Linked DNA regions of Lytechinus pictus. The protein of the gene in region 1 binds, or shares a complex with, the protein of each later gene. Links are inferred from orthologs where the notes say so. Each region holds a gene or a part of one and is shown in the gene's direction. Other genes may lie near its edges. The genes, in order: geranylgeranyl transferase type-2 subunit beta-like, synaptobrevin homolog YKT6-like and protein prenyltransferase alpha subunit repeat-containing protein 1-like.

The links.
Region 2: the proteins of geranylgeranyl transferase type-2 subunit beta-like (region 1) and synaptobrevin homolog YKT6-like are in contact, whole or in part, in a crystal structure (PDB 6J7F), measured with the Homo sapiens proteins. The link is inferred for Lytechinus pictus from reciprocal best matches to the Homo sapiens genes RABGGTB and YKT6. Residues at the interface, in NP_004573.2 of Homo sapiens: Thr3, Pro4, Gln5, Lys6, Asp7, Ile9, Lys11, Tyr37, Leu45, Trp52, Leu236, Asp238, Cys240, Arg281, Gly283, Asp284, Met285, Asp287, Phe289, His290; in NP_006546.1 of Homo sapiens: Lys60, Gln62, Asp63, Leu65, Asn83, Glu84, Tyr85, Pro86, Ser87, Leu153, Asn155, Thr156, Glu158, Arg189, Lys190, Cys194, Cys195.
Region 3: the proteins of geranylgeranyl transferase type-2 subunit beta-like (region 1) and protein prenyltransferase alpha subunit repeat-containing protein 1-like are in contact, whole or in part, in a crystal structure (PDB 6O60), measured with the Homo sapiens proteins. The link is inferred for Lytechinus pictus from reciprocal best matches to the Homo sapiens genes RABGGTB and PTAR1. Residues at the interface, in NP_004573.2 of Homo sapiens: Lys6, Asp36, Tyr37, Cys40, Met41, Glu43, Tyr44, Ile89, Gly90, His91, Asp92, Asp136, Trp138, Glu140, Phe177, Asp178, Gly182, Cys183, Arg184, Pro185, Gly186, Ser187, Glu188, Ser189, His190, Gln193, Trp217, Glu221, Arg222, Pro225; in NP_001093136.1 of Homo sapiens: Val61, Lys62, Leu65, Pro66, His69, Leu73, Arg76, Leu97, Asn98, Asp100, Phe101, Thr102, Thr103, Asn106, Lys109, Glu110, Leu113, Ile141, Arg144, Trp145, Pro192, Ser193, Tyr195, Ser199, Ile202, Trp203, Gln206, Val231, Ser232, His234.

Annotation. Positions count from the first base shown.
Region 1 is NC_087259.1:24,339,098-24,346,489, reverse strand, and holds the start of geranylgeranyl transferase type-2 subunit beta-like, read left to right. Parts: upstream 1-4,372; 5' UTR 4,373-4,382; coding exon of another isoform or gene 4,383-4,512; 5' UTR 4,513-4,520; coding exon 4,521-4,652; exon of another isoform or gene 4,653-4,999; intron 5,000-5,674; coding exon 5,675-5,782; intron 5,783-7,212; coding exon 7,213-7,392. Other genes in the region: calcium channel flower homolog, read right to left, coding at 354-461, 1,430-1,555, 2,619-2,691, 4,383-4,512. UniProt on the Homo sapiens protein: Catalyzes the transfer of a geranylgeranyl moiety from geranylgeranyl diphosphate to both cysteines of Rab proteins with the C-terminal sequence -XXCC, -XCXC and -CCXX, such as RAB1A, RAB3A, RAB5A and RAB7A.
Region 2 is NC_087256.1:1,625,024-1,632,437, reverse strand, and holds the start of synaptobrevin homolog YKT6-like, read left to right. Parts: upstream 1-4,307; 5' UTR 4,308-4,724; intron 4,725-7,414. UniProt on the Homo sapiens protein: Vesicular soluble NSF attachment protein receptor (v-SNARE) mediating vesicle docking and fusion to a specific acceptor cellular compartment. Functions in endoplasmic reticulum to Golgi transport; as part of a SNARE complex composed of GOSR1, GOSR2 and STX5.
Region 3 is NC_087249.1:4,778,190-4,785,275, forward strand, and holds the start of protein prenyltransferase alpha subunit repeat-containing protein 1-like, read left to right. Parts: upstream 1-3,981; 5' UTR 3,982-4,099; coding exon 4,100-4,173; intron 4,174-5,637; coding exon 5,638-5,792; intron 5,793-6,809; coding exon 6,810-6,885; intron 6,886-7,086.

The DNA of each region.
Region 1 (7,392 bases):
TTTGAGGAATGTAAATTGCAGCGAACAATGATTTCATGGAAAACTCTAGAAAGTCAAGTGTTTACATCAACTTAACTCTGTGAAATCATAATATCAAAGCAGAAAAAAAAATGACACAGAAGATCACCGACACAGAAAGGCACATGTGGGGCAGTGCATTATCATTGTTAGAAAAAAGACTTTGACACTTACCAGGCTAGCTGGAATGCCATGCTTGTTTCGTCCATTTCTCAGCAATTACACATTTCCTACCAGAATCATTTGGCAAAGCCCCCCCCCCCCGCCCTCCCCAAATGCTTAATTTTTTTCTAGATATGAGAGTTACAAGGGATAAAGAGACTAAACAAACTTACTTCTTTCCAATGAACACCAGTCCATAGAGAACGCCAGTCGCCATGATTACAAGGCAGGCAAAAATTTGACTAACTCCAACGCAGAAGAAGAACGGCACAATAGGTAACCTGGTGAGATCAAAATACATAGAGTAAATAAACACACCATGTATCATGCGCCATCTATCTAGTAAACTATTTGTGGCACAAAGGGATAAAACAAGGTTGGACGAGTAATTAGAAATTTTAGAAAACACCAAGATCACAATTAGAGAATGAAGTATGTGTATAAACAATAATTGAGCTTTTACAGATATTTATCAATCAGATAATTTACGTCTGGACAGACTTTCAACATCACCTTCTGAAAGACATATCCGGGGAGCATTCCATCAACATTCTTTGTCTGACAAGTTGTAAGAACAGACAACTTTCCTTTAATTTGATTAGCTGAGAAACACGGTTACTATAGTAACTGTTGGATATATAGAATTTGTTGAATAATATGTGCTTCAACTCCTTTCATGAAATGCTCCCAGCAGCTCAAAGCTCTGCATCAATTCATAACTTCCCCACGTAAATAATGTAGCTTTGGATTACAGGCGCACCCCACAATACCAGGTTGTGTTATAGTAAAGTAGTAAACACTGACAACACATATCATTATATGCTCTCGAGAGACCAATCTTTTGAAGAGTTGTGATGGAATCAAATCAAATAAAAATAAAAATATATTTGGGACCAGAGTAATCTGTTTGATGTAGAATAAACCGGGCCCTGTATTATAATAGATACAATCAGTTAATTGGAACTATTTGTGCATGGTTTTCCAAAGGTTTTAAGGGTTTGCTCGGATTTAAGATTGATTGTAATAATTTAAGTTTACAGGGTCCGAGGCTCTGTAACATAAAAGCAATGCATCGCGATTGATTTTGGGGCTGATATTTCAAATAATCAATGCAATCAATAATACATATATGCCGAATAATCAATCTCTAAGCTGCATGTTACAGCCAACAGGGCTAAGGCCTGAATAATTACTTAACTCTGGGCATATTAAAGTTGACTATAAAATGTTGACTTTGTACACTACTTACAAGAGATAGAAGAGAGCCTTCTGCCAAGGAGCTCTGTTTTCGCTCCATTTGCTGACTTTGTCTGTGATGTCAAGGAACTGGCAGCAAAACGGGGCTTCTAATAGAATCGTCAGGAATCCAAGAAGCCTGAACGTAAAAGAGGTTCAAAGGAAAAGGCTTTATTCGAAATTGAAGTTCAACCAGAGTAAACAGACGTATGAACAAGAAATACGATATGAGAAAAAGTACTTGATTACACAAATGACAATCACAGATCTAAGAAATACAATAATTCCAAAGTCATGAGAATAAGTACTTTATTACACAAATTACATTCAAAGATCTCTAAGAAATACAATAATTCCAAAGTATTTTCAAAATAATAATAATGTGATAAATAAGTATCATCAAAGAAGAAATAGCATGTGATGCAATATGCAAGCTCACCTCATAGAGTTCAAAATTGATTTTTTTTTTTAATCTTTCTTTATAAAAATTTCAATAAATTTAATCATATCTACACCGCATATTATGTGTTTCTACATGCTTCCCTACATTAAACTGCAATGAAATTAAGATATTACTAATTACAAGTTATAGGACCTTGAATAAGTGCATCAAAAATATCAGAGTATTGCATGGTGCATCAAAATGTGACCTATTGCACATAGGCTTGTAGACTTGTACAAAACTTGCTGTGCAATATATCAGGTCATGTTGCAAATGAATCACAGCAATCTAGCTAGGTGGAAAGGAGACACAATGATGAATTACATTTTTTGTTCTAACCACAGGTTGGGCCTAGTTATAGTTCTTATATGTAATTTTTTGCTTTACAGAAAGCCAAACTCATGTGTTCAAATACAAAGGTATCGATCCTGGGGGGAGGGGACAAACATATTGATTTTTCCCACTCCCCCCACCCCCCAAAAGTAATAACAATTAACTTGAGAAATATTATATCATAAGAAATGCAAATGTTTCGAAAAGCGTTGGAAAGCACTTAAACTCGGTATAATAATATCATAAATCTTATAATAATATCGTCAAGCAAAGTTCTGTAAATATATTTGGCATGCCCCCATCCCCTTCACCCAAAACATGGATCTACGCCTCTGTTCAAATATATGTCTAATAAAGAACAAATTGTTACAGGAAGTAAAGAGGACCATTCACAATGATTTTATTTCATGTGGGAGTGGCTACTCACATGATGTAGATACCTGCAACAATGCACAGTCCTTTGATTGAGATCATAGATACCAGTCCAAGAATAATAGCCACTGAAATACAAAAGGTAAAAATGAATTATAAGATATTTGATAACAACAATATTACGCTAAATTGCTAATTATTTGTCTACTGCCAAATCATCTACTCACCACATGGTATACTTTCATTTAGTCTAATGCCATTCCGTCCATCAACATGTCGTCTAACAACCATTTGGTCCAATCATCACTTCGTCTAATCACCATTTTGTCTATGACCATTTCGTCTCATAACCAGTTAGTCTAACATCCATTTCATTTTCATTCATTTTGCACAATTTAACACTTAGCCCAATTAGACCAAATGGTATATATGGACTAAATGGCTATTAGACCAACTGGTTATTAGACGGAATGGCATTAGACTAAATGAAAGTAGACCATGTGATGAGTGGACATACTGATGGTAGACCAAATGATAGCACACAAGTTGGCAATTGGACGAATTGGCATGAGACGAATTGGAAATAAAAACCAACATTACCTGTGAATTCATATAAACAGAGAAGGGCGAAAATGCTGCGGAACTGCAATTAGGGAAAATAGTTATCTTAAAGTTTGTGTTTTCACTCTACTCTTCTCCGACCAAACTACTTCTTTTGGGTTCACCATGGCATTGGATAATAATCTATATTCTATAACTCGAACTACATGTAGAGTATATGAAGTCAAGGCACTAAATGTAAAAACCAATGATACAGGTCCGACATTTTGTCATTTTAATACATAATTCCAAGAAGATTTATTACAAAAAAACACCCTTGTCCACCAACTCTCAAGTCTCTGACTAGACCAAAAGCTTCGGTCTCTGTTATGTTGGTTGTTCAGCTGAACTCCGTAGGCTTCACTCACCAAATACAGAGACCGAAGTTCTAGCGCGATCTGTACAGGGGACTCAATGGCCATATGTTTATGTGTATTAAGTTCGGATAATACAGGGCAGTGAAGTTGCGCGACAGCCGAGGTAAGTCACTGTTTTTGTTCCTTTTAACTTGCTTTTCCCCGTTTTTTGGCAATTAATGCCAAGAGGGAATATTAATTTGCATTTCGGTCGCGGTAATTTTCAAAAGTTTGATTCATTAAAGACAAAAATTGAAGAGCCCCGACGGGGGGATTTTGCATTGTAAGTCCCCTAATGGTGGCTGCACGATAGCGAGCCGTCTGTGTATGAGGAGAAATAAAAAATAAAAAATGTTAAAAAACTCCTCGAAACAGACGGCTGCCAGCTGTCTAGTCTCTGACCTGCTGTCTTCTTTGAAAAGAAATAGATCAAATCATTTTTATCATTTTTATCATTTCATCATCAATCATCATCATAACCATCATCATCATCATCATCGTCGTCGTCATCATCATCATCATCATTATCGTCGTCGTCATCGTCATCATCATCACCATCATCATCGACATCATCATCAAAATCATCATCACCATCAATCATCAATGCAATCATGACCATCATGACCATCATCATCATCAAAATCGCAGGATCTATTTACTAGGATCTAGACCATGTCTAACAATAAGACTAACGTTAAAATGATAGGTACCCTTTTCACAGGCACTTTTTTTTTATTCGGATTTGCTGATCAATATCACTCAGCGAATCCGAATACAAAAAAAAAATCACAATCAGTAATCACAATTTTCACACAAACATGATGTTGAATGTGTGGGACAATGCCAATGGCTAATTAACTTACACACTCCAGCTACAGAAGCAACAATCCTTACGAAAAGCCTGAAACAAAAACCCGTTTCTTTTTGTGGAGGTGGAGGTGATGCTTGCTGAGGTTGGCCATCGTTGCCCAAACTTTTGTACGTATCCGCCATCTTAAAGTATGAAAAAAACAGCAATCAAGAAGAACTTTCGCCTCTGCCAGCTTGTCCAATATTTTTTGATGACGTCATCAAGAGCAGAAGTGATACTTGAAAAAAATATTGCCTGTCGTCTTCACCAATTTTACGAAATGGTAAGTTTATAACTTATATTTGTAATATAGATATCATGAAATGTTGGAAGAGGCGTCCTGTCTTCAGTTGAGTAACAACTTAAGTACTTTATCCCTGTATAATTGGCACTTCTTTATTCGAAAATATGATAGTAGTTTTTTCCTTGCTTTGCCTTTGGTCCCATGTATTCAGAACGTCGTGTGTTTGTGTTGTGTGATTTTTTTTTCGACGGCTTTTAACCTTTTTATTGGCCCACACAGAAGAGGATGCACTGGTGCATGGACGGTGTAGACAGTCGTCACTGCCACACTAGGATGAGTCATGATGAGGGGAGGGGATCAAGTTATATTTTGAAATTCCAAAACTCAGTGGTCATTAACTATTGCAGATGCGCAATTAATGGCATGCATTATTAGAATATTAAAACTAAAACTTTCAAAAGTGGTAATGATGTCATTATTATGATGTCATTGTCATGAGACATGACATGACATTGACATTGTCCAACCATGGCATTGTGATCAGATGATGTTTGTCTTTGAGATGGTGTCTATATTTATGTCATTGCCACTTTGTCCGTGTCCCAGCTTTCCAATTATTACAATTACTATCAGTGATACAGATCCAATTTTTAAAGCATCTGAGTTTTGGGACACATTTTTCTTTCAATTCTCTACATTCCTTTTTATATGAATTGTAATTGAATTGAATTTTTGTATTGTTTCAAATGAGAGAGTTTTATACTCTCTGTCAATCAAGCAAATATTAATCATGCCAAAATGATGTTGTTTGTAAGAAAAAAGGTTAATCTCCATAATGCTTACAAGTATGTGCTACTAATACGGGAATATACCCTGTCCTCAAATGAACCCATGTGTGTTGAAATGAGAATAGAAATGTTTTGATACAGTTAACTGATTCGGTCATAATTAATTGAAGCAAAACATTGCCAGCACACAGGGGTAACTAACTGAGAATAATTCACATGAGATAATGTCTTAACATCTACCTTTTATTTCTCCGCCATATTTTCTCTACGTAGGGTACCCCCATCAAAGATGTAACTTTAAAACCAACAGCGCCAAAGGAACTCCTCTTGGACAAACATATTGAATACATAGCCAAGTATGGCTCTAAGAAAGATGATTATGTAAGAAACAATTGATTTGCTTTATCAATGAAAGTCAAATATTTAAAAACGTGCCTTGGAAAAATACATTTCTGTTGACATTGCCTTTTTGTAGTCATTTTTTTAAGGATTTGGATGTGATATTTTAAAGAATTTATGGTTATATTCAAGGTAAAGATTTCTTGTTCTCATAATTCAATAAAATTTCTAAGCAATTCTGTAAATAGCAGTTTGTCATAGCATACTGTGCATAACATTTTGACTTAAAAAAAGATTTATCATATACTTCTAGCTACATGTATTTGGAATTACATATATGCCTAGTAGGTAATTATATTGATATAATTCATAGTCATCATCTTCACCATAAACACCATCCCATCATCATCATTATCACCATCATCATCTTCTTCATCGTCATCATTATCATCATCATCATCATTATTTATTTTTTTTATATTACCTTCTTTATCTTTGTTATATTTGATAACTTGTACATTCTAGTACATAAAATGATGATTGTTTAATTTTTGTCTTGCCTGAACAAAGTTTGGCAGAGACCTAGTGATCACTTTCCTGTTAGTCTATCGGTCTGTTACAAAAATGTTGAAGTTTTTGTTCAGTTTGCTCTATTTCTTATTTCTGCATCAATTGTGTTTACACTTGGTACAAATAATCCTTGGGTAAGACCACATTTGTGTTGATGATGATCATTGGGTCAAAGGTCATCTCGGGGTCAAAAAATCTTATTGATCTCAAAAATAAGAAGAGATTTGTGGTTTATGAACCACCTTGTTATTGGATGATGATATGTTTAAAGGGGAATCCAACCCAAATAAAACTTGTTTTTATAAGGAAAAGAAAAATCAGACAAGTTGATAGGTGAAAGTTTGAACAATATTGGACAAACAACAAGAAAGTTATGAACTTTTAAAGGTTGTATATATTGGTAATCACTATACCCATGGAGACTTCAAATTGGCCACATATGGGATGTCATAATGATGTAAGGCAAGGACTACTCTTCCATGTACTCCAATACATATTATGGCTAAAATGTCATTTTCCCCAAAAGTTTTATTTCAAATTATATTTTTGTTTCATGAGGACATAAAACAATATACTTCCTGGGTTATATTTAGATTACTGCCCCAGGGGAATGAGTACTTAGGAGAAAACCACGAATCCCTGATAATAAAGTACTTGGCCTATGGGAAAGTTGTCCTTGCCCCTTGTCATAATTTACTTACCAGGTTGCCCATTTGAAATCTACATAGTATTAGTGATCTCAATTTTAAAGCAGCTATAACTTTCTTATTGCTTGTCCGATTTCTTTCAAACTTTAACCATTCTGTTTAATTTATTTTTCTCCTTCCCAACACAGCATTTTATTGCCAATGCTGGATTCCCCTTTAATAAAATGACATTTTTTATGTAATATAATATAACAGGAGTATGTGATGACTGAATACCTAAGGATGAGTGGCATGTACTGGGGTATCACTGTCATGGATCTGATGGGTCAGCTTGACCGAATGGACAAACAGGAGATCATTGAATTCATCGTCAGCTGCCAGCATGAATGTGGAGGATTTGGTGCCAGTGTTGGGCACGACCCCCATCTTCTCTAC
Region 2 (7,414 bases), on another chromosome or scaffold:
AACTTTTCGTTTTTTTTAGTATGGTCAAATACACGGTAAGCCCCTGGGCTCCGGCCCGCTGTGCGGGCCGGAGCTCCCTGGGTTACTTGCACATCAGATATATGCTGGACTGTCTGATGTATCAATTATCATCGTGATATTCATGGTGTGTGTATGTTCCCAAGTCAAAGCAGTTTCCCTTAATCTTTAAAAATGAACAATTGAGAAAACATACAACCCAGCATATAATAACACAACTACAAACTAAAATATTCTGAGTAAAAAAATGATGAAAATGTAATTAAATGTTACATTTCAAGCATTCATGTATAAAAAAAAAGGGCCTCAAAAAGACAATATGGGGCCTGGGGTCATCAACTTCAAGCAGGCTTGCCCCGAAAACATCTCCCGAATTGTGTGATAATATATTTTGCTTTAAAATAGATATCAGGGGATTTTGCCATGATTGCATTGTTAACCCCCTATTATCAGCCTAAAGACAAAGTAATGGCAACTGCACGACCGCGAGCCGTCTGTTTAACTTTAACAAGGAGAAGAAAAAAATGTTTAAAAACTCATCGAAACAGACGGCTGCCAGCTGTCTACAGTAGAGGCGCTGGTCAGAAAATTGGGATCGTCCCAGAATACAGGGACTGTCTCAGTTTATAAGGATTTCTTCACACAAGAAATCTAGGAAAGTTCATTCACCTGTCAAGTGCCGACACCAATCAAGTGTGCTAGTCAATGTAAACATATCAGGTTTCATAACAAGATTATTGGAAGACGGTAAGTCATGAAAAATAGACGGCGAACTGGGGGGAATTGAGGTCACTGAATCTATTTTTAGCACTCTCAATTTCCGTAATTGCTGTCTTTGTCCCGTAGGGAGAAGTGAAAAAAAAACGTCCCCATAAACAAGGACAGTCTCAATTTATCAAGACATGATTTGTCTTGGTTTATGAGGATATCCTTGTTTTCTGGGACAATCCCAGTTTTTGGACCAGCGCCTCTACTGGTCTAGGCAATGCTAATGGCCTGCCTGCCGAATGACTCCTTCATTGTTTCATTTGATAAAAGGAAATTTGCCATTACGATATTCACCTATTCACTTGCTTGCCAAAAAGACACGCACGACGAAGGCCGGCCGAAGGCGCGGCAGGGATAAAGCAGCGGATAGTGGCCTTCTGGAGCACGGGGCTTGCCCGGCGCTGTCATCAGGTACAGTCCGGTGGGTCCCCCAGCAATAGGCGGTGAGCCTTGTGTAGGTAGCGCGAGCAATAACAATAACATGAATGCGATCATCCTGGAAGAAAATCTCTACCATAACGTTAGAGATTTATTTTTTAGACTTAGATCTGTTTAATACTTATATAACAATTTTGTTTTTTATATTATTTTAAATATTTAAAACCTATAAATTATATTTTTACGTGATTATAATCTAGCATGAGTTATTCAGGCCGCATTATATTGATTTGTGAATATAATTTTTAGTTGGCAACTACCCTCAAGTACACAAATTCTAGTGTAGACCTTTAAAATATTATGAGTCATTCAGAATGACGTGTCGACCGCTAGCGCTGCGCCCACGCAAGCGACCAATTAGCGCCCGATCACCACAGAAATATGAAAGAGCTTGTAGTGTGTCTTCAAAAAGGTGCAAAAGACGGGAAATGTCCTCTTTTCTAGATGAGATACTGTCAGATTTGATTTATTTTCTATTGCTTCGCTCACAATGTTCATAATTTAAAAATTTCAATTGCTAAAAATCAAAATGTATCAATATGAGAGCTATGCCTATCATTATGAGGATTTAATGATAACTAACACTCAAGATACATTCATGCGGGATTTCGGTAAAGTGTCCTTCGCATATCGTGAGTTTATTGTCCAACCCCATTTGTAGGAGTGCCTCTGTACATTGCCTCTGTATCATATAGAGGGGGCCTCGCGGGTGGCGTAGGGGGGGGGGGGATTGTGCAATAGGGCCCACGGCAAAAATTATCACCCCTGACAGGGGCGGATCCAGCTTTCGCCAATAGGGGGGGGGGGCCGAAAAATATTTTCATCAACATTTTTCTCGATTGGCCGCTATAATCTGATTTTTTTTTTTTTTTTTTTTTTTTTGGGGGGGGGTTCAGGGGGTAGTCCTAAATAGAGACTGAAGTTTTAAGTATATGTTAGTTTTTATTGTTATAAACTAGATAAGGTATATCATGTGGTCTTAATATATAATGCGAGCGCAAAGCACGAGCTCAAATTCTTTGATATTTTATGTCCTTAGACCTGAAGATTCTGAGGAGATTTTATAATCATGAAAAAGATAAGTATCCAACTAAACAATGCGAGCGCGAAGCGCGAGCCGAAATTTTATCATAGTAACGTGAAAAGGGACTCAATTAGGACTGTTTTTATTGATTAATGAAGAGGATACAAGTATCACCAATTAAATAATGAGAGTGCGAAGCGCGAGCTCAAAATTTTTGATATTCCGACCTGAAAACTGGACAGTCTAAGCGCGTTTTTATTTAAATACAGAAAAAGCTGTGTGTCTCAAACAATAAAATGCGAGCGCGAAGCACAAGCTCAATTTTTTTATATACTGACATGATAAAGGAGCATTTTGACAAATTTTGGTAAGAATTTCCAAAGAGGATAGGTAACTCACAAATCAAACAATGCGAGCGCGCAGCGCGAGCTGAAAATTTTGATATAAACAATTTGTGTAAAACAAACAAAATAATTAAAGCTTGATGTGCGAGCTAAAATATTGTGTGCAAATTGATTTCAGATCTGGATATATAAGTGTCATTTAATCCTCTTGAATGGGATTCATTGGCACAGGCAATGCGAGCGCAAAGCGCGAGCGAAATTTTTTATATAAAGTTCTTTTTTCCAATTCTTCCCCTCACCCTTTTCTTGTTTCCTTTTGGGGTCGGGCCGGCCGTTACGAGGTTGTAAACTACACATCCTGGGTATGATACCTCTTTCCTACTTTTCTTTAGTGCTTTTCCTATAGTACACTTTTTCTGCAGGTTGTCAAAAAATAGGGGGGGGGGGCCGGCTCGGCCCCCTCCTGGATCCGCGCCTGCCTGACGCATTGGGCTCAGGACAAGTCCATCCCAATAAAAAGTTAATAAAGGAAAAAACGAAAAATCCAACAAGCACAACACTAAAAATTTCATCAAAATCGGATGTAAATTAAGAAAGTTACGACATTTTATGATTTTCTTTTAATTTCACAAAATAGTTATATGTGCATTCTGGTCTGTATGCAAATGAGGGAACTGATTGCGTCACTCATTCACTATTTCCTTTGTATTTTTTTATATGAAATATTTTAATTTTCGTCTCATTAATTGTTCTGTGTATCAAATTCCTTCATAAACATGTGGAATTGCCATTGTTTTAACATTTTTATGGTTCAGTCAAGTTACACTCTTAAAACAAATCATGATTGACTAGACCAGTATAGCGGCTGGGTGCAACTGATATGAAAATAAATGATTATCACATTTCTGACATATCGAAATAACTCTGTTCTAGTAATACGACTAGAAAAAACTCAAATATGACTAGAATAACAGTTGCACCCACTGCAGCTGACCCTAAGTCATTTTTGACTGGTTTGTCTTTAGAGACGGTGTGGTCCTTTTTGTCATATCTGTAAATTCAAACAAAAAAAACATTAAAAATGTGATGGACATCATCGACATTCTCATTTGCATATCACTGAGTTGTGCATATAATTAGGAAAAATAAGTGAAACTTTGAAATGTCATAACTTTCTTATTTTACATCCGATTTTGATGAAATTTTCACTGTTACGCCGCTTGTTTGATTTCTCTATTTATTCAAATCAACATTGAGTCCTTCAAACACAGGCTGGACAAACATTGGTCTTGCCATCATCAAATTCTCCCCTACATAAAAAAAAATAAATATCCGTCCACCCTCCACGCAACATGCATGCATGTAATCTACAAGTCATTTAAAATAGTCAAGTTGGAACAAGCACTATCAAAAGGAACGACCGGAAGTCTCGACATCAGGCTTGCCTTCTTCTTCCGTACACTGATGATGATGATGATGATGAACATTTTTCTGGGGTGGACTTTACATTTATCAACTAGACCATAAACTTAAGTCTGTGTACCATTCCCGGGTACCATTGACTGCTCTGCTGAACTACATTAGCTACACTTTCCTAGTTTAGAAGGGTGTGTGAAGTCTAATATCAATACACTTTTTATTATTTTTGTTTGCTCTTTTGTAGACACCATAATATAATAAATCGATTTTTAGGTCTGATATTTTCAGGATTATGCGCTAATGGTCGCTAGAAAAACCGCACAGTACGGCGTAAATGAGTAATCGCTCATAAACGTTGACAGAAGAAGCTACAAATCCATCGTTATCACCGTCCTTCGCTACGAGACCACCCATCTGATTCCAAACAAGAGAAGTGACAGTGAATTGAACGATCTGCGACGTGACGTGCCCAGTGATTAGTCAGAAGAGAAAGAGAAATAGTCAAGTCATTCTAACGTTACGTTAGTTTCTACCTCCACTGCTCAGGCTCCATGGTCAAGTGCAGTGTGAGTGTAAATTGTAATGATGAACGACAACTAACAGAGGCTCTGAGTGAGAGTGGAACAGTACTGTCAGTGGAACGTGAACTGGAGTGGAAGCAGTGACGAGTCAGCTCAGAAGATAAACTGAACTGAACGGAAAAAAAGGTCAGGGTAAGTTTCAGACGGCATGGAGATTGGAGGGGAAGGGGGAGGGGGAGGAGGCGACAGCGTATAAAATAAGACAGTCACTGAGTCAGTTTCGCATCGGCCGGCCTCAACTTCAAAGTTCAAGTTCAATTTTTTTTTTCAACTTTCAATCAAGCAAATTTCCCTACCAGGGGCAGTAGGCAGTCTTCAGGTGAAAATTAGGAAAGGCTGTTCCACTTCCACTTCCAGCATGTTTTTTATGCTCACAATAAATGAGGCTCAATATCTACGATTCACAATCTGTTTGAATTTTCAAATTCCGACTTCTAGAAATCGAGTTATTGTCATCTTTGTGATACAAAATGACTTTTTTGTGGACAAAAGATGATTGCGTAATCCAGGGCCGTAATCTTATTATTCTCTTTGTTTTGGGCATGGCACACTTATATTATAATGCATAGCTTATGGGGAATGTACAAATATTTTGAAAGCTTTTTTGCAATGATTTTGACTACCCCTGGACGATTACCCCCCCCCCCCCCCGGACAACTACACGGTACCCCATCCAAAAATCTACACCTAACCCTATTTCGGGGTACTAATTGTCCTGTGGTACTGGTACTCATTGGTAGGTTTGTGCACAGGGTAAACATGACTTGATATGGATTTCTTTTGCTTGAACATTAGAAATTAAATTTTCAATGAATATAATTTGAAATAAAAAGAAAGAGAATTCAAATAATAATCTCAGAATTTTTAGAGAAAAAAATAAAGTCAGATTAATTTCAATTATTTATTATGATTATCGCATTATTGTTATTATGGTCTCAATAATATTTTAAATATTAGTATTGTCTCATTATCATTGTTTCATCATTGTTGTCAAAATTATTGTTAGAATTATAATTATAATCATAATTATAATATCAATAATTATAATATAATAATAATTATTGTCTAATTAATATTATTCTCAATAATTATTACAATTATAATTACTATCATAATTGTTATCATAATTATTTTATAATTGTTTCAATAATGATAAGGCCTACATAATTATAATTATTTTAATTATAATTATTATAATAATGATTGTTATTGATGTCTCATTAATATTATTGTCTCAATAATTATTACAAAATGTATAATTACTATCATTATTATAATTGTTATAATTATTTATAATAATTATAATTGTAATAATAATTATTATTGTCTCAATAATTATAAGGGCTATGATTATTATAATTATAATTATTTTTATAATAATAATTATTGATGTCTAATTAATAATATTGTCTCAATAATTATTACAATTATAATTATCATTATAATTATAATTGTTATCATTATAATCACTTTCTAATAATAATTACTATTGTAATAGTAATTATTATTGTCTCAATAAAATTGAGCTCTTCATCCACAATGACACCAAGATCATCTTGGTGTCATTGTGGATGAAGAGCTCAATTTTAATCAACAAGTCTCAGCAGCTGTTTTGAAAGCTAACCAAATACTTGGAATAATACACAGAACTTTTTCTCAAATAATCTCTGAAATATTACCAATTTTGTTTATAAGTCTGATTCGACCTCATCTGGAATATGGGAACATTTTATGGCATGTGAGATTCAAAATGGATGCAGACAAAGTAGAGAAGGTGCAAAAGAGAGCTTCTCGCATGATTCCTGGTCTCCAGATTTTAACTATGAGCAACGTCTAGAGAGACTCAACCTTCACTCACTGTTTTATAGAAGATGAAGGGGAGATATGATCACTGTTTATAAACTGTCAAATGGAAAGTTGGGGATCTCTAGTGACACATTCTTCACACCAGCAATGCACTCAGCAACAAGAGGTTACAAGTTCAAGCTTTTCATACGACGATCTCGGTTGGAACTTAGAACTAGAAGTACATTTTTTAGCCAAAGTATAATTTCTGATTGGAACAAACTGCCTACAGAAGTAGTGGAAGCTAAATCAGTGGAATCAGTGAAAAGATTTAAAGATCTGTCGGACAAGTTCTGGTGGGGGGGATTGAAAACCTCTATTTCTCAACGCATGTAAAGATTCATAAGTTCAAGCTGTATAGATATACTTGTAAAATACCCAAAGTAAAGACCAGAAAATCTACAGGAGAAGTCTTCATTTCCGTTCCTGATGTGATGAGAGACTTGCTATGATATTTGCAAAGAATTACTGGTGGGGAAATTTGCTTGAAGTTGGCCGATGCAAAACTGCATTTGCGCAACCCTTAGCCTTGATAAATGTTAATTATATTGAATCAAGCTTAACTAACTATCTTACAAAGGTATAGATCATCATTTTATGATAATTTTTGTTTCTAAAGTGATTCAATTGGTACACCTTACATGTATTTGTATATTGATCATGAACAGTGTTCCCAGGTCCAAGCTGAAGAAAATCCGCAAAAGGCACTCGAAAATTCCACCAATTGGAATCTACATGTATATCCCCAAATTTTTCAAATCACAATAATTTCTGAAAAAGTGAGGACATTTACCATGATTATTGCCCAAAACTAGTTAATATGTGCTTGTTTGTTCACACCATACACAGCAGATTTTTATTATTATTTTTTTATTTTTATTAAAGGTTTCGATGCAAAGTAGATTGGCAACACTACCATTGTATCGTACAACCAACTAAGTTCAATGTATCATTCGAATTGCGTAGGAAATGCGCTG
Region 3 (7,086 bases), on another chromosome or scaffold:
CAAAGCATTCTTTCAGGGAAAATTATGGGCAACTTTGGTCATCATGAGGGCAAAATCCCCTGTCGCCCTCAAGTATTTCTTACATGAATACTGGTTCCTAAGCATCATACTTGATGAGCTAATCAGACACATTTAATATTCAGTTGCATGCACAATTCATTTCACAAATTATTGTTAGCGGTTAACAGTTGAAGAGAATACAAGTATTGATAGTCATGTAACAGACTTGACCTTGTGTGATGAATGTTAAATGTGTCTTAAAAACTCAGCAAGAACTGTTTGAATGCTATTTTGCAATAAATGAAATGAAAATCTTTGTTGGTGTTGTTAAACTATTATTAAATTATAGCTTTGTTTAAGCTTACCTTTGTAGAAACGTTTGAGTAGATATTACTTCAACAAAGAAATATATTGTCCTCTTTCTTGTCATAAGCTCTGTAATAAGAAATCTCTAAGTTTTTGTGAAGATATCTGGTGCTATTTAATTCTGTAAACCTTTGTGCTGCGACATTTGAATCTCTATGACACTAATACAGGAATTACATGTCTACTGTAATACATGTAACTGTAAGGAATGCATGTTTATATCCTATCATATGATCAGGTTTATTTTATTCTGGAGAAAGGATACTTTTTATCCCCTTCATAATACATGTACACATGTAGATCATACACTTGTGAAGTTACAAATGTACTTTCATGTGCGCATGATATCTGCCAAGCAAGAATTCATGCAATAACGTATGTTGTTTGTTGTATCATTTTACGCAACATCAGCTAGCACATTCCATATGGGCATGAGACTGGTATTTTTTAAATGTCAATAAAATGAAGATATTCATGTACAAAAATATCAAATTAAACAATTGTGTTTGAAATTTTTCTTTTGGAGATAGAATCCCAGACACAACTTAGGAGAAACATCAGAAAAAATAGAAAAATGGATAGACAGATAGATATGAGAAAGAGAGAGAGAGAGCAATAGGGGGGGGGGGGGGAGAAAACTAGAAATGGGATAGAGGGAGAAACAAGATTCATGAAATATTAAAAACAACATAATTTTTCAAAATTAAAGACTTACTTGATAATGATAATGATATGCATTACTGACTTCCTAATTGATAATATATTAACAAATGTACATTCTAATAATAATAACTCTGGTCTATCCAGATATAATTGATCATTTGCCAATCTTTTGAATTGCCTTTCAACCTAGGTGTAGGAGTTGTGTAGAAATAAATAAAGTCATTTAACTTTTCAAATCTTGAATGGATTTTCTCTAAACTCTGGCAATATTTTATACTTTTCTGCTAATTTGTACAATAAAAATATTGTCAGGGTTAACTTCTCCTTTAATGAATAGTTTTGCTTTCAAAACCTCACATTAAAAGCCAGAGGCTGACTCATGTTGATAATGTTAGGTATATTGCTTGATTATGGCCCTTTCATATTCTTTGCAATGAAATAGAGAATTTTAAGGACATTCCCAAGCATCTGTACGCATCCCCGCTGGCAAGCACGTTGACGTCACAATAAATGAACAGGTGTGTAATCGGCTACAGATTGAGATATCAACTGATTTTTCCAGTCATTGACATTCTAACTGCAAATCTTGAGTATTAGCTGAAAATAATCTATCAAACTTTTAAATGCTTCTACTACCTCTTCACAATACTTTATCACTCTGCAGTGCTGCAAAGTATGACGAATATGACCTCGAGTTCGATTAAATGGGATAATGGTGAAGAGTTTTCCTTTATGTAGATACAAGCCTTTTAAAACATATTTTGTGTTTTTAAAATCACATTTGCTCCAACAAATGTGCAAATAGTTTGAAAACAAGCACATTCATGAACGCCCAATTTTTACTGAATGTTCACACACCTCATTAGTATACTTAATTTTCTCTACAACCATGCAAAATTTGGTGAAAATGACATGGGTTTTGAATAAAGTGCAGCATTTATTGTACTTCATAAAATCTGTTATATAAATTTCAAATTTTTAAGATATGTTTTTGTTGTCTTTCACACCTTATTTTCAAAATTGAAGGTGCTGCTACTCTTTAAAGAGCAAACAAAAAACAATTTGAGTGCGGGATTTAATTCTAAACTATAAAATTTGGTGAAATATAGATAGATTTCTACTGGTAATAGAGGTATCAAACTCAACGTTGAGATCTCATAGAATATGTATAAATACTATTTAATTAGTATTTCTCGAGACCTTTCAAAACAGTGAACTTCATCGCTCGAAATAGCAAAAAATCAAGCACATATGAACCCATGTTAATTTTTGCATATATGGCATATTTACATGTAGGTGCTGAAGTAACTCTGTGCAGAATTTGGTGAAAATGACATGGATTATTTCATTTTAACTGTGGAAGGTCCTTAATTGAGCCACCTTCCATTGATCACTACCAATGAAGACTGGACAGCAATCCAAGAAATAAATAAAAATGTTAAAATTAATAAATGAAATCCCTGACTGATCGATGTACGACTCTAGGACATCTGCATAAAATCTGTGTTTGTCTGTTTAGCAGCATGCAATGCTCTGCTCTAGAACAGAAATTTAGGCTGAAAATGGGGGTTTCAACCACGGCACATTCATACGTATACATTTATACTAATGAACCACACCCCGGGCCCCCCCGAATATCGTGCGGCTATATAGCTGCAGGCTTAATTAGGCTGGTTTTCAGCCATATTTTCCCCGATCGGCCGCTCGAAGATGATTTTTGGTTTCTTTGAAGGGGTAGTCCTAATAGTCACTTCTGTATAAATCAACATAAATATATAATATAATTCTTAATTATATAATGCGAGCACGAAGCACAAGCTAAATTTTTTGAATTTTATGTATTTTAGCTCTATATATTTCAAGCACTTTGTAGGAAAATTGTGAGGTGGATATGGATCACACTTAATCAAGAGCTGATATTTTTCATTATTATTACTCTGAATTCCTTAGGACATGTCATCATAATTATAAAAAAATGATGACTATCTTCCTATTCCTCTTGCTAAGCGCGAGATGAAACAACAGGGACATTTAAATTATTAGATTAATATCTTATTTATTAATCTAATATGCCTAATTAGGGCGTGAAATCTGATATTATGGCCTGAAACCTGGACATTTCAAGCACTTTTGTAATTATATATGAATATAGGATGCATCAGTTAATATATTTCTAACCATGATGCGAGCGCAAATCGCGAGCCAAAATTTTTGATAAACTCATCAAAAGGGGATTTTAAGTAATTAGTTTTGTAATCAATATTGAGATATACATAACTTGCCAATCAAAATGCGATCGTGCAGTGCTAGCTAGTACGTTTTGACAATCAGACCTAGCTGCAAGGGATGTATACTTTGAAAACGAGTAGAAAATGTTAATATTCAGACCATAAAACTGACAGTTTTACAGAGCACTTTTTAAAAATCAATATAAAAAAAAACACACAAATAATGAAAGTTCGATTTCCGAGGTGAAATATGTTTTGTAAATTGTATATTTAAGCTCGATCCATATTGAACAAGATAAAGTCACCTAACAGGCAATGCGAGCGCGAGCGAAAATTTTATATAGTGACATGAAAGATTCTTTTTATTTTCCAAGCCTTCCCCTCATCTCATTTCATTAATTCGTCTTCCTTCTCTTCTTTTTTCTCCTCTCTTTTCCCTCCTTTTTTTTTTTCCCCCCTTTTTCTTTCATTTTTTGCTCCACCAATAGGGGGGGGGGGGGGCCTGGGCCCCTTGGCCCCCCTGGATCCGCCTATGTCGATCCCCCTCCTCCCCAAAGTCCCTCCCCCGTATAACGGCTCCAGAATATATAGGGGTCACGGACCCACTTACACACACGCATAAAGAAACGTAAAAAATACCATCTGATTATGTTTTTTTTTTCATGGTCAGCCCCGGCCCCCATAACAAAAAACCCTCTGTATTCCGTATCTTGTTTGTGCTTTTGCAGACACTGTATACCACATAACAAAACAGAATCCTTCTCGGTATTTTAACTTGGGACACCAATTCCGGCTGAAGATCTTGCTGATATGTTTCTAATTTTGTAACCACTTTGACTTTAATGATGGGAGACGATAGTCGACCAAGGAGGATATTGGCGGATCTAAGCAGTGCTCTTCGTCGAGATCCTAAAATGTAAGTTTTTGTTGGCCCAAATTTTCGCTAGTGCGCTTTCGCACCCTGGTGTCGGTGGAATGAAGAAGCGCCAGTGGCAGTGGCACAGGCAGTGCTAGCAGCGTTATACTGCCACTACCACTGGCTCTGGAACAGCTGCAGTTATGTAGGAATGCGCTGCTGAGCTGTCGGCGCTAATGCAGTTTCGCACCGGCCGACTTCGAGCAAATAATTTCCCCTCCAGAAAGTCTCTCAGTCACATTTAAAGGTCAATAAACAATGGGGTCGGGACAACTTGGACCTCGGAACATCGCGGGCCGAGTTGTCCCACCCGTTTTATGATTTTTTTTCCCCACAAATTTGTGTCTATTTTTTCGTCATTTCGAAATTTCTTGTAACGATTTTCTACAGAAGAGGCGCACGGCACGGCCAATATCACCCAAGGGTTCATTACATGCCGCCGCGCACAGAAAATTCAAGCCATAGAAGTCGTTTGTTGTGGACCCAAGAAGTGAGATCCCAGCACGCGCGACCCACTAGTTAGAAATCCACTGCCAAACGCGGTTCGTGGTGCGAGGTTAGTATACTAATACTAACCTCGCAATACGTGTGAGTGGGCCAATATAGGAGACTCCAATCCAGTCACAATGTGTGAATTGTCATGATTGTAGCGAATTGAGATCATGTTTTCTTGGGTTTTGTGGCCATGTAATATTCATATTTTGTTGAGATTTTGGAGTAATTTCTGTTGCTGTTCTGTGTATTTTGAGGAAAAATATGTTTTCCGTTTGAAGTGCCACTTTCCTTTCAAAAGGCCCTTTCTGTGCATTCCGTCCGTTTTCCGCGATCGCGGAAAATCACTGTCCCTAGTAATATGTCAAAGAACTTCTTTAAGAAGCGCTTTTTGCAGTGCTCCCCTACTGCTTTAGGAGAGCTTTTTATTGTTCCCCTCATAATTATAATCAGTCCCTGCAGGACATATTCTCTACAGTCAAATCTCATTAAAACCATCGACCAAATTGAGGTAAGCGATTTAAAAAAATCATTTTCTCATTAAAAAAAAAATCAAAATTACCATTGTAAATGTTAATACTGTCAATGTTTGTTCAGTTGTAAATAGACCGATTTTTGGCAAATATTTCTACTATTTAAGCATTCTTTGCGGACTTTTTGAAAATCAAGTCATGGGACATTCACTGAGCGAGGTTTGTCTATATACAACCTCGCTTTAGAGTGAGTGCTTTTTGTTTTATTCTCAAGTACATTAATTTTGTAATTTGCACCTATTTCTCCCTGCTAGTTCTACTATAACCTATTTTCAGTTTGGGTAAATACAATAAAAGGGCATATCAGATACTGAGATATCACAGAGTTTAAATTGCTTGCTAGTTAAATACCACTGGACTCTTTGCCAAATATTCCCCTCTTTCAAGAATGGATATTTAGTAATTCAGCTTCTGATTTTACTATTTTTGTTCTTTTTAGTGATGAGTTTGACTTCATCTATTGTCCTGAACCCGTAGTTAATAGAAGTCCTGTTGTGCTCGAGAATCATAAGCTGGGGCTGCAAACATGGAGCATTAATCTCCTCTTCAAATTTGTCTACAGCAACCTAATGAAGAAGAGTACAACAGTTAAAGGTATTTATTATCAGCATTGGAAACAGTGTTAGCAAATTTAGGTATTTCTCACCTAGATTGGGAAATACTGGGAAAAAGTAGTAAAATCCGAGGAGGTATCTACATGTAAGATGTATACCCAGTTGTTGTGTGTCCGGACAATCAAGTTTAAACAGCCTTTTGGTAAAGCTACATCAGTTTTATAGTACAAAGTGATATGAAATATTATAGAGAACAAAATTGAAGAAGATTACAACTATTCAGTTCATATTTTGTGTATTCCAATGACAAAAAAAAAGAAGGCTTCAAAATTTTGAAGTGTCTGACCACCCCACCCCCATCCTACAGGGAGGTACATGGAAAATTTGGAAATGCTAGAATTTGCTTGAGAAACACCTGGGCAATACCTGAAAATATTCAAGAAGTATATATACATTTATTTCATAGTATTTCCAACTATTTCCAATATTCCAAAAAAAATATTGAGGTGGCATTTACCGGCATTTACCACTATGATTTCCCATTGAGGCTAACCCTGATTAGTATTGAGAAGAGTGCATGCATGAGACAGAGTCAAGTAAGTTCCATGTAAAAGCCCCATCATACTTGTTCTTAATCAAGCAGAATTAGTCAGAAGGAAATCTCTGTTGGTCGAACAACAGCGGTCTTAGAAAAATCCCTGCAGAAGTTTGCGTATTTTGAGAGGTACCTAATACTTAGCAGGTATTTTCTTTCTGTAATTTCCTTTTAGACTGTAAAAAAGTACATGGTATCCTCAGTTTTCTAGTTTGTCTGAAAATAGATAGATTAATAAACAATAAAGGAAATTTCCTTTAAAGTCATCTTCTTGTTGGCAGATGTGTACAGGCTGGATGTGTATGACCATGAGTGTAGTCTTCTGTAAAAACAGCAGAATGATTGATTAAGATTTTAACATTCCCATACAATTGACAATACAGGAGAGTTTTGGTTTAGCAGAAGTGCAACATTTTTTTATGTTATGTCCCTTTCTCTCTCTCTTCTGTGACTACTTGACAGATTTGAAGTCTGTGCATGAATTCAGCTGTGCTGTGCTTTTACTCAATCCAGATTGTTACACAGTATGGAATTTACGGTGAGTTTAAGTCCATTTAGTAGTCAGTACATGCAATATAAATGTTATTCTATCAAGGAGAAAGATATGAGATTTTTGTCTCACCTGCATAGCAGAGTGAGACTGTAGGCGCCGCTTTTCCGACGGCGACGGCGACGGCGACGGCGACGGCGGCGGCGGCGTCAACACCAAATCTTAACCTGAGGTTAAGTTTTTGAAATG